3 separate regions of the Mus musculus genome follow, and regions 1 and 3 are each reported to be linked to region 2. Evidence: microRNA targets listed by miRTarBase, many of them from high-throughput screens and not tested one by one. Region 2 holds a microRNA gene; each other region holds the end of a gene's coding sequence.
What was found. Region 2 holds the annotated microRNA mmu-miR-130b-3p (CAGUGCAAUGAUGAAAGGGCAU, at 2,102-2,123, opposite strand). A microRNA usually pairs through its seed, bases 2 to 8, with sites in the 3' UTR of a target mRNA and lowers its output. Matches are read on the target gene's strand: a 7mer-m8 pairs with bases 2 to 8, a 7mer-A1 pairs with bases 2 to 7 and ends in A, and an 8mer does both.

Region 1 (3,259 bases), not on the chromosome of region 2:
CTGCAAGATAGACCTGCGTAAGGACAAGGTGCTGGTGAACAACCTGCGGAAGAAAAGACTGGAGCCCGTGACCTACCACAGGGTAGGTAGGAAGCTAGGCAACCTCTGGATACTTCCCCACTGTGCCAGGTGTGTCGCACACGGGGGTCTTGGCGGATGTCAGCAGTCAGGAAGGGGCAGCACTTGGAAGCAGAACCCAGAATGCTCAAGGAGGCTCTGACAGGACAGATAGGTAATATGCACAAATAAGACCCCTGAGGTCCATGTTATTTGATTTTAGACCTTTCTCTGTAACACACAGATTAGTTGCCCACTGAAGGTGCCCTGGAAAAACCCCACTTCCCACTATTGTCCTCAAGACTACTGACATTGCCAAAAGGGCTGCAGCAAGACCAAATGTGAGTTTCACCCCGCATCCCAAACTCATAGTAGCTCCTACTGCTCTTTGGCAGGGCCACGATATGGCAAGGTCTGTGGGAGCGGTGGCCTATCTTGAGTGTTCAGCTCGGCTCCATGACAACGTGGAAGCCGTCTTCCAGGAAGCAGCAGAAGTGGCTCTCAGCAGTCGCAGACATAACTTTTGGCGGCGGATTACTCAGAATTGTTGCTTGGCCACCTGACTGGCTTGGAACCCACCTTGCCTTCCGGTTTACTCCGCTGCAGAAAGACCCAGAAGCAGAACTTGTACTCTGTTGACTGGGATGGACCTAATCCCTAGGCTGAGCTGGTAGAACCACACATCCATCCACAGATGGGCTCCAATGAGGCCTGGCCCCTGGACCGAGGAATCCTGGATTGAGGAAGAGGGTTCCCAGACCCTTAGCTCTGGAACCATTATAGACTCCTGTGCCCAATCCTGGACCTGCGTCCTGAGCGGGGTCTGTGCGGTCTGTTTGGCGCCACCTTGTGGCTATTCTATTGAGTTATATCTACAGGACCTAGGGTTCCCAAGACCATCTTGCCCGGGCTAATACCCTGCCCCGTCCGTGATCATCCTATTTATCCCATTGCTAAGTGTAACAACTAAAATGGCAGCACTTGCTATTAGTGTCCTGACTCTTCCTTCAAAGCATCTTTACATACTACTAGGTAGGAAAGAGCCCATCCACCTAGACCCTAGGGTGGAACTGCTAGGACCAAACCTGACTTTATCACTTTAAGACCTTGAGGAAGTTCTAGGCCTCAGCCTTTCATCTGTAAAATGGCCAATCAGAAATTACATCAAGCATGAATAAAAGTCATGAGGACTAACACATTCAAAGAGCTTAGCAAGTGCCTTGCATGAAAGGTACACACTCTCATTTGTCTACCATGTTAGTAGACTTCTCCAGAAACAGCACAGTGTCAGGCACACACACACGGAGATAGTGCAGTAATGCTTTCCAGGTGCCACCACATAAACCAAACAACCTAAACTCAATTCCCAGAACCCATATAAAAAGCAAGATGCGAGGTTGGTGAGGTGGCTCAGCAGACAGGGGTTCTTGCCACGACGGCTTGAGTTCCTTGGGACCCATATGGTAGGAGAAAACTGACTCCCACATTTGACCTCTGACTTCCATGTATACCTTGGTATAAACCCACCCAACACATACACAGTAGAACTGAAGTGTAACTTCACTTTTTTTTAAGCTAGAGGCTAGTGATCAAAAGCATTAGTGCACTATCTCCGTGAGTCCTCACACGTGTGTGTGTGTGTGTGTGTGTGTGTGTGTGTGTGTGTGCGTGTGCGCGTGCCACTGGCTTGTCTTCTAAACGATCTAGGTTTGGTTCCCAGCACACATAGGATAGCGCACAGTCACCTGTAGTTTCTGTTCTGTGGGACTCAATGCCCTCTTCTGGCCTCCATAGGCACCAGGCACAAAAAAAAAAACCCAAAAACAAAACCAGGCAAACATACACACCATAAAATCAAGCCAGTGTTGGTGGTGCACACCTTTAATCCCAGTACTTAGGAGGCAGAGGCAGGCAGATTTCTGAGTTCGAGGCCAGCTCAGTCTACAGAGTGAATTCCAGGACAGCCAGGGATAGAGAAACCCTGTCTCAAAAAAAAAAAAAAAAAAAAAAAAAAAGGTGTCAGAGACAAGAAACTCTTCTAATCTCTTGGAAGCTCAAAAGCCTTGATACACACACCCCACATATGGAAACTACAGAAACAAGAGAGACCTGCCTCAACAAGGTGAAAAAAACTGATTCCTGAAAGTTGTCTTCTGACCTCTACATGTGCAATGTGGGGTACACACACACACACACACACACACACACACACACACACACGGTTTCATTAAGGAACCTGCTCATATGCTCATACCCGTGTGGTTGTGGGGTCTGGCAGGCTGATACTTGTAATGCAAATGAGTTGGTGTTGACATCCAGCATTTGAATTTGCAGGGCTGTGGGCTGGAAACTCAGGGTTTTTGGACTGCTAAACTTGAGGCAGAATTCTTCAGGAAGACAAGAGGCCCACACATACTGAGTGCCACCTGCTTTATTCAAAGACTATCAATTTAAAATTCTTTTCTCACATGTTTATTTGTGAGGGCTGTGGGACATGCCATGACACACATGTAGAAGTTAGTGGAAAATCCTCAAGAGTCAGTTTTCTCCTTTCACTATGTGAGTCCCAGAGATCAAACTCAGGCTGTCAGGCTTGGTGGCAAGTGTCTTCATCTACTGAAGGCACTGGCCTCCAAAGTCTAACAATTTAAACATAATCACATCTATTTTTTTTAATAGAAATGAATTTTGCTTTTATTTTTTTAATTTAAAATTTTTGTTTTTGTTTGAAACAGGGTTTCTTTGTGTAGCCCTGGCTGCTCTGAAATTCACTCTATAGCTTACCTGGCTTTTAATTTTAATTATTTTTATGTGTATGAGTGTTTTGCCTGCGTGCATGTCTGTGTACCATGTGCATGAAGACTGTCAGATCCCCTGAGACTGAAGTTACAGACGGTTGTGAGCTGCCGTGTGAGTGTTGGGAATGAACCCAGGTCCTCTGGAAAAGCAGCCAGTGCTCTTAATCACTGAGCCAACTTTCTACACTACACCTGTTTTGTTTTGTTTTGTTTTGTTTTATTCTGTATATGCTTTTTATCAAGTTAATTGTTAACATTGTGTGTATGTGGGCGCATGTTGCCATGACAAAGCTGTGGAAGTTGGGGGTCAATTTTGTGGAATCAGTTTTCTCCTACTTTTATGTGCATTTTAGAGACCAAACTCGGATCATCAGACTTGTAAGGCAAGTGCCTTTCTTTGAGAA
Region 2 (3,259 bases):
TTTGCAGTTCCCTCCATACTCTGCCCTACCAGACCGCCCTGGTAATTGAATCTACTTTCCAGTTCACTAAGATAATATCCAAAAGGACTTCCTTCTGCCCCCCAAAGGGCTTTAGCTCTGGCTTTTGCACCCTCTGAGTTTCCTACCTACTCGGAAGCATTACACACATCCCTCTCCAGATCATGTCCTGACCACTTCTTTTGCTTGTTTTTTGAGACAAGGTCTCCTATGTAATTCTAGCTATATTGGAATCCACTGTAGACCAGGCTGGAACTCTGCCTCCCAAACAATGGGATTAGAGACTGCATGCCTGCACCCATGACCACTTACTTGCTCTATGTCTTGATGTCCTCCTGTGGCCTCTCCTCACACCTACCTCCGCTACCTTCCTCTCCCTCCCCTCCCCTCTGGAGTGCTAGGGATTAAACCCAGGACCTTGTGCATAATAGGCAAGTGTTCTACACCCTGAGCCAATTCAAATTCACAGAAGTGACTTAGCCAACCTAAATCCTTTGCGGCCCAGACCTCCCCTGATATGTACATGTAAGATATGTAAGATATGCACATGTAAGATATGTAAGATATGCACATGTTAGGATTCCTAGCACCTCAGGATGGATCTGCTGTGGCAACAGCTGCTGACACACGTCTACCCTAGCCACAAAGGAGTGTGGTTGCTTCTTCCCCATCAAAGCCCTCCGTCAGGCCTGAGACTCATTATGTATCAGAGCAGTCCCCATGGGTGCCAGGACTTGTGGAGCTAGAGTACTATTAAGGCTGATTTTCTCAATCTATTCCCAAAAGGGAATCTGGAAGCCTGGGCCTCCTCTCAAGGAGGCAGGCCTGACCACCTCCTACTAGGTTTTTGTTTGTTTGTAAAAGAGGGGTGGGTGCATTGAAACAGGGCTTTACCATGTAAATATAGCTCTTCTGGAACGTGCAGGGTAGACCAGGTTGTCCTTGAACTCACAGAGATCTACCTACCCATGCCTTCCCTGTGCTGCATTCAAAGGCATGGGCCATTGGGTCTTGCCGCTAAAGGTAACTCTGCAAGCACACTAAGGATCGGGCATCCTTAAAAATTCAGCTCCAGGGCTGGAGAGATGGCTCAGTGGTTAAGAGCACTGTTCTTCCAGGGGTCCTGAGTTCAAATCCCAGCAACCACATGGTGGCTCACAACCATCTGTAATGGGATCCGATGGCCTCTTCTGGTGTGTCTGAAGACAGCTACAGTGCACTCATATAAATTAAATAAATAAATAAATAAATAAATAAATAAAAATGAGCTCCAGCCCTGTCTGGAAAGCAGACATACCAGACACCTCCATGCCTCTCCTACTCAGCACATACCCTCTTTGTAAAGGAGCAAGCAGACATGGCTGGCAGGCCTACTCTGCAGGCTTCTTGTTCCAAGTCCATCCATCTGGCCCAGGCAGGACACTTCTTCTGAGCCTCAAGGTGTGAACCCAAGGTGTGGTTATCTCAGGAAAGGCTGAGTCCAGTTCTTCCCGAGGCAGTCAAGGCTAAGCAAGGTATACAAACCTTTTCCATACAAAGAGGTGAACATCTGTTTCTCTCCACAAGGTCCTGGAGTTCCTAGTTTTGTTTTGATTCTTCAGACAGCTTCAAAACTGAGACAATCTTCCTGCATCAGCCTCCAGACATGGGCTCACCAATCTTTCTTTCTTTTTTAATTGATTAATTAATTAATTAGTTAATTTGGTTTTTCTCAAAACACGGTTTCTCTGTGTATCCCTGGCTGTCCTAAAACTCACTATGTAGACCAGGATGCCCTAGATCTGGGTGATCCACCTGCCTTTGCCTTCCAAGTGCTGAGATTTAAGGCATGAGCTACCTACCATTCACTCACCGCCGCGCCCCCTGCAGCAGACTCCCCTATCTTAACCTGGGGGGAGGGGGCTAAGAGCTTGAGACTGGAGCCTTTCCAAATCTGGGGTCTCCCCTTTGTACTGGTTCCAGCCTTGGAATATGGTTCTCAGCATCCACCTTATCCTTTTAGCTAGAGATAGCTATCTCTATCTAAGACTATGATCCAAGCACTGACCCTTTTGTTCCTCAGGCTCCTTAGCTGGCCCGACAGATGCCCTTTCATCATTGCACTGCTTCCCAGAGGCCCACAGTAGTGCAACAGGGAAAGAGTGTCCAACAAGCCTGTCAGTCTCACGGGGTGGGGCGGGGCATGGGGAGTTGGGGTGGCTGGAGTGGGATCTTAGACCTAGAACGCATGCCCACCTGGGCGGAGCCTCGGCCTGAGCAAAGGATGCCCTCTGACCCCAGAGACACGGGCCTGGCTACAATCTCAAGTTTCCATGGAGAAGAGAGTAAAATGAGCAGGGGGAGGGTACGGCCTGCAGGCCTGAGGGGCCAGGCCTGGAAAGGGAAGAAAGAAGGAACAGTAGGTGAGGTGGTCTTCGAGGCTGGTCCCAGATGCTTTGACAATACCATTGCACTGCTTCTCACAGCACAGTAGTGCAACCTAGTCAGAGCACCCGCAGCCAGCAGGAAATCCATCGCCCTCGCTGCACGCAGGGCTGCGCTGGAAATTCAACCACCATGGGTGGGTGGGACATCTATCCAAGCTCGGAGAACAGACGGGATTCCAGCCCGGATGCAGTCCTCTGGACTTATTAACTTCAGGGAACTCAAACTTTCTCTAACAGGCTTCTGATTCTGGTGAGGTACTCCAAGGAGGGAGCTGAAGGGCGAGCACCCGAGGGGGCTCAAACACAAAGGAGAGAGGCCTGCGCTCAGTTGCAGAGGGGAGCACAGTGGGACTACTTGTACCCTGTTTCAGACCAGAACTAGAATAAGAGGGATACTTCACTCCTTGCACGTGAGGCCCTTGGAGTCCGAGATCCGGTCCTTGGTCCATTCCCCCAGTATGAGTTCTGCACTCTATCCTAACAGATTCTCCTGCCTAGAAGAGCAGAACTAGGGCTTCCTGGCATCTGGAGTTTCCCTGGCCTCACCGCACACCCTATCCCAGACCAGTTACTCACGTGGACAGACACCTCTTGTTCTCACCAGGGGGACAAGGTGAAGCTTAGTGGAAGATCCAGGTAGGCGGCGGCCCCGTCATATCTGGACAACCCCGCACCTCAGCACCTCGTGGCGCCCTCTCTCCCTCGGCTCCATCTTTAACCATCTGACAGTCCCGAGGGCCGAGCCCCGGGCCTCAAGGCACAGCGCCAGCCTCATTGGCTTGCGCCTACACCAAGCTTTGCCTCCTGCGCACCTA
Region 3 (3,259 bases), not on the chromosome of region 2:
CACAACAGCAGCACCCTCGCCTTTTAGTTACTAATTAAGAAAATGTCCTACAGCCAGATTTTATGGAGGCACTTCCTCATTTGAGGTTCCCTCCTTTCAGGTAACTCTAGCCTGTCAACTTGAGATCAAAATAACCAACTTGAATAGGAAATTAGTTTGCTATCACATTTCCAGCTCATCACCTAATATTCTGCCACCAGATAAAGCACTGTTGTGTAATGGTATTTACTGGGAATAAATAATGTATCATCTAAATTTACACCTGCCAAAAAAACTTAAGAAGAACAATGAGATTTCCCCACAGAAATCAACTCGTCTAAAGAAATAAGAATGCCACCCCCAACACGCCTCTTTCACATAAACATTGTTTGGGCTGAAGGCCATTTGAAATAGCACACACTAGGAAATCATCTCTATCCTTTTGTATATGGGGAGGTATGAATTCTCCTTCACTGAAGACTGCTCTAGTATGAGCCAAGAGACAGCACTTTATTCTATACCTTTCACATTCTCAGCTTCACATCTGTTGAAACTTAAAATGATTCTCTTTTGTCCTTCGTAGGCTGAGGCAAGAGGATTGCTTCAAGTCTAAAGCTAGTCTAAGCTACAGTAAAACCCTCTCTCTCTTGGTTTTCTGTTGTTTGTTCAAGTTATATATAATAATATGCCTTTATTTAGTCTCATGACCTTATCCTTTTGCATGTTACCCGGAATGGAACCTGTGGAATCCTGTGCTTGGGATTTCGGACAGTTGTATCTCCTGCCTGCCATTTAAGATTACTGTATATGAACCACTGTTGCTTCTTGCTTTAGCTTTGTACACAGTCAATACAGTTAGCATTTCATTTCTCATTAACCTTTTATTTTTTAACTTAGTTTTACAATAAACAGAAAAGCTGATCATTAAAAAAATACCATAGCTGTCGATTTCTAAAATGAGGTTCATGTTTTAATGCATTACCACTATATCCTGTAATTACATCCTTTATATACAGGAAATGTGTGCAAAGTGCTTTCAAACTATAAAGTAATTCTGATATATAAGATACAAATGGTTGCCCTTAGGAGTTAGTTACACTTGACTACTTGCAATCAATCACACTGGTTATATCTTTGATTTGCATTCTATTTATATAAGAAAAAAGCCATCACTTTATCATACCAACCTCTTTTGTAATTTAAAACAAAAAAATGTCACAGGTCTAAAGTTTTCTATAATAATTCAGTTATTTGCTTTTTTTTCTTCCTTTTAAAATGTAGAAGATAGATTTGAGGTTTTTTAATCATAAGCAAAAGCCAGTAGATCATTTTAGGCATATCAACCAAGTTGTGATACACAAGTTTAAAATAAAGTTACAGTTTTGAAAAATTTGTAAAGTCTAGGACAAAGAAATTATGTTCTTATACTCTTTTTCCCAAAGAACAACCCTATATTCTGAAGATGGATTCTTTTCTTCTTACTCAAAATATTCAACACGTAATGCTAACGCCCCCAACATCATACAAATCAAGAACAAATTAAAATGTTTTACTCTCTAAAGCTGGCCATGGTGGTACAGGCCTGTGGTCCCAGAAGCTGAAAAGAAGTAGAGACAGGAAACTCAGGTAGTCAAGGTCATCTTCAGCTACATAGAGAATTGGAGGCTGGTAGGAGCTACCAAAACTCTGTCTCAAAAGGAAAAGCAAAAAAGGATTTTCTATGAAGTTTTTAAATTAAATCTTCAAAGAATAAAGTATATTACTGAGCGCAGGTTTGAGAAAGTACACAGGAAGATTATTTTTCAAATACAGTGTTCCGGGATCTAAATTGATCTTCTCTCTGTTTTAATGGCTAGAAGGAACTTAAGTTTCCATTAGTTAGGCATTCCTTAGTTATGTGGACATAGAGACCTGTAGACTGAAAGTACTTCTGATACCTTGTGAAGTATACCCCAAAGGAAAACTGAGGCACTAAGAAGTTAAGAGTCCAGACTGTCGTTTACACTTGCAAAAAAAAGGATTATCATGCTTTTGTTACCTTAGTAAAAACAGTATAAATACGTTTTCATTTTATTGCAAAGCACCCTATGAAGCAGACAGTAGATATCCTCACTTAAAAGAAAAATGATTACAAAGGATTATGTGTGTATGATTGAATTAAAATCTGATTAGCCGTGTCTAGAGTTTGAATACACTTTTACACCTACATTAGGCCTGTTTTTCATCATTTCCATCATCAAGTTAAGTCTGTTCAGTGAATCGTTTGTAAACAGAAGCGCAGTACAAGGACGATGATTTTCTGAGTTCCCTTGAGCAAGCCGGGGAATCAAGCCACTAACTAAAGCCCAGTCTCCTGGAGAGGATTCTTCCGTCCGGTTCCTGCCACGTAGCTGACAGTTCAGTGACTGATGCAAAATCGATTTAACCTCATTTTTAAAAAATCACTTTTGTTTTTGCATTCTTTCTTGTGTTTAATTTAGAAAAGTAAAAAGTATAAATTTTATCTCATAATTGGAGCTATGCCTTAGAAATGCAGCTTATAATTCTTATGGGAAAAATTAGGTGATCATTACTGAACAATAATTAATAATTTAGTCCTTCAAGCTCAAAAAGAGTAAGTCTATGGATGCTACTTAAAATCTAGTTGAGATTGATTTTTCAAGTATCAGCAATATTAGTCTTTAAAATGTTACCATTTGTGTAGTGCAAAGAATATTTATGTATATAAACCAAACTACTGGACAAAAAAGCAACGTAATCATCAAAACTGAGATTTTCTTCTGAATTCCACTTCATTTCCAGTCCGTCTCTTAGGTCGTCCAGGCCCAGCAGTCTTCTTGAGTAAAAAGCCATTTCTTCAATTTAGTTTTCTTTAAAAAGAAAGTAAAAACCAATTTCCTGTAAGTATAAATATAACCTGAATATGAAGCACATTCATACCAAAGAATTGCATGGACAAAACACAGCATTCAAATTTATAATAACACTGTAAAACTACAAATCATTTAAGGTTACTTCATTGTGACTTAACTTGGGGGGGGAGATGCAGGTAGTCGGATTATCAAATGTATTTATTCATAAATAACTGCATACTAGCAAAATCAAAAGAAGGGAAACACACCAACAACATAAACAACCAACAACAACAACAAAATAACAAGTATCAACAATCATTAATCATTGATATCTCTCAATGTTAATGGTCTGAAATGAAAAGAGACAGAGACTAATGAATGCAGAAACAGGATCCATTCTTCTGCTGCATATAAGAAACACACCT

Region 1: the mRNA of Rhod is a reported target of mmu-miR-130b-3p. Seed matches in the 3' UTR shown: 7mer-A1 at 1,660-1,666.
Region 3: the mRNA of Acbd5 is a reported target of mmu-miR-130b-3p. Seed matches in the 3' UTR shown: 8mer at 2,681-2,688.

What each region holds. Positions count from the first base shown.
Region 1 is chr19:4,423,450-4,426,708 of GRCm38, reverse strand. Rhod (ras homolog family member D) reads left to right here. Exons shown (of 5, transcript NM_007485.5): 4 at 1-82; 5 at 453-3,237. The coding sequence ends at 620. Among named protein-coding and RNA genes, the nearest start is that of A930001C03Rik, 14 kb to the left of the region's middle.
Region 2 is chr16:17,121,970-17,125,228 of GRCm38, forward strand. Mir130b (microRNA 130b) reads right to left here and starts at 2,173; the gene lies at 2,092-2,173. 2610318N02Rik (RIKEN cDNA 2610318N02 gene) reads right to left here and starts at 3,233. Exons shown (of 7, transcript NM_001358255.1): 1 at 3,021-3,233. Mir301b (microRNA 301b) reads right to left here and starts at 2,527; the gene lies at 2,431-2,527.
Region 3 is chr2:23,112,095-23,115,353 of GRCm38, reverse strand. Acbd5 (acyl-Coenzyme A binding domain containing 5) reads right to left here. Exons shown (of 14, transcript NM_001355637.1): 14 at 841-2,849. The coding sequence ends at 2,837. Among named protein-coding and RNA genes, the nearest start is that of Mastl, 42 kb to the left of the region's middle.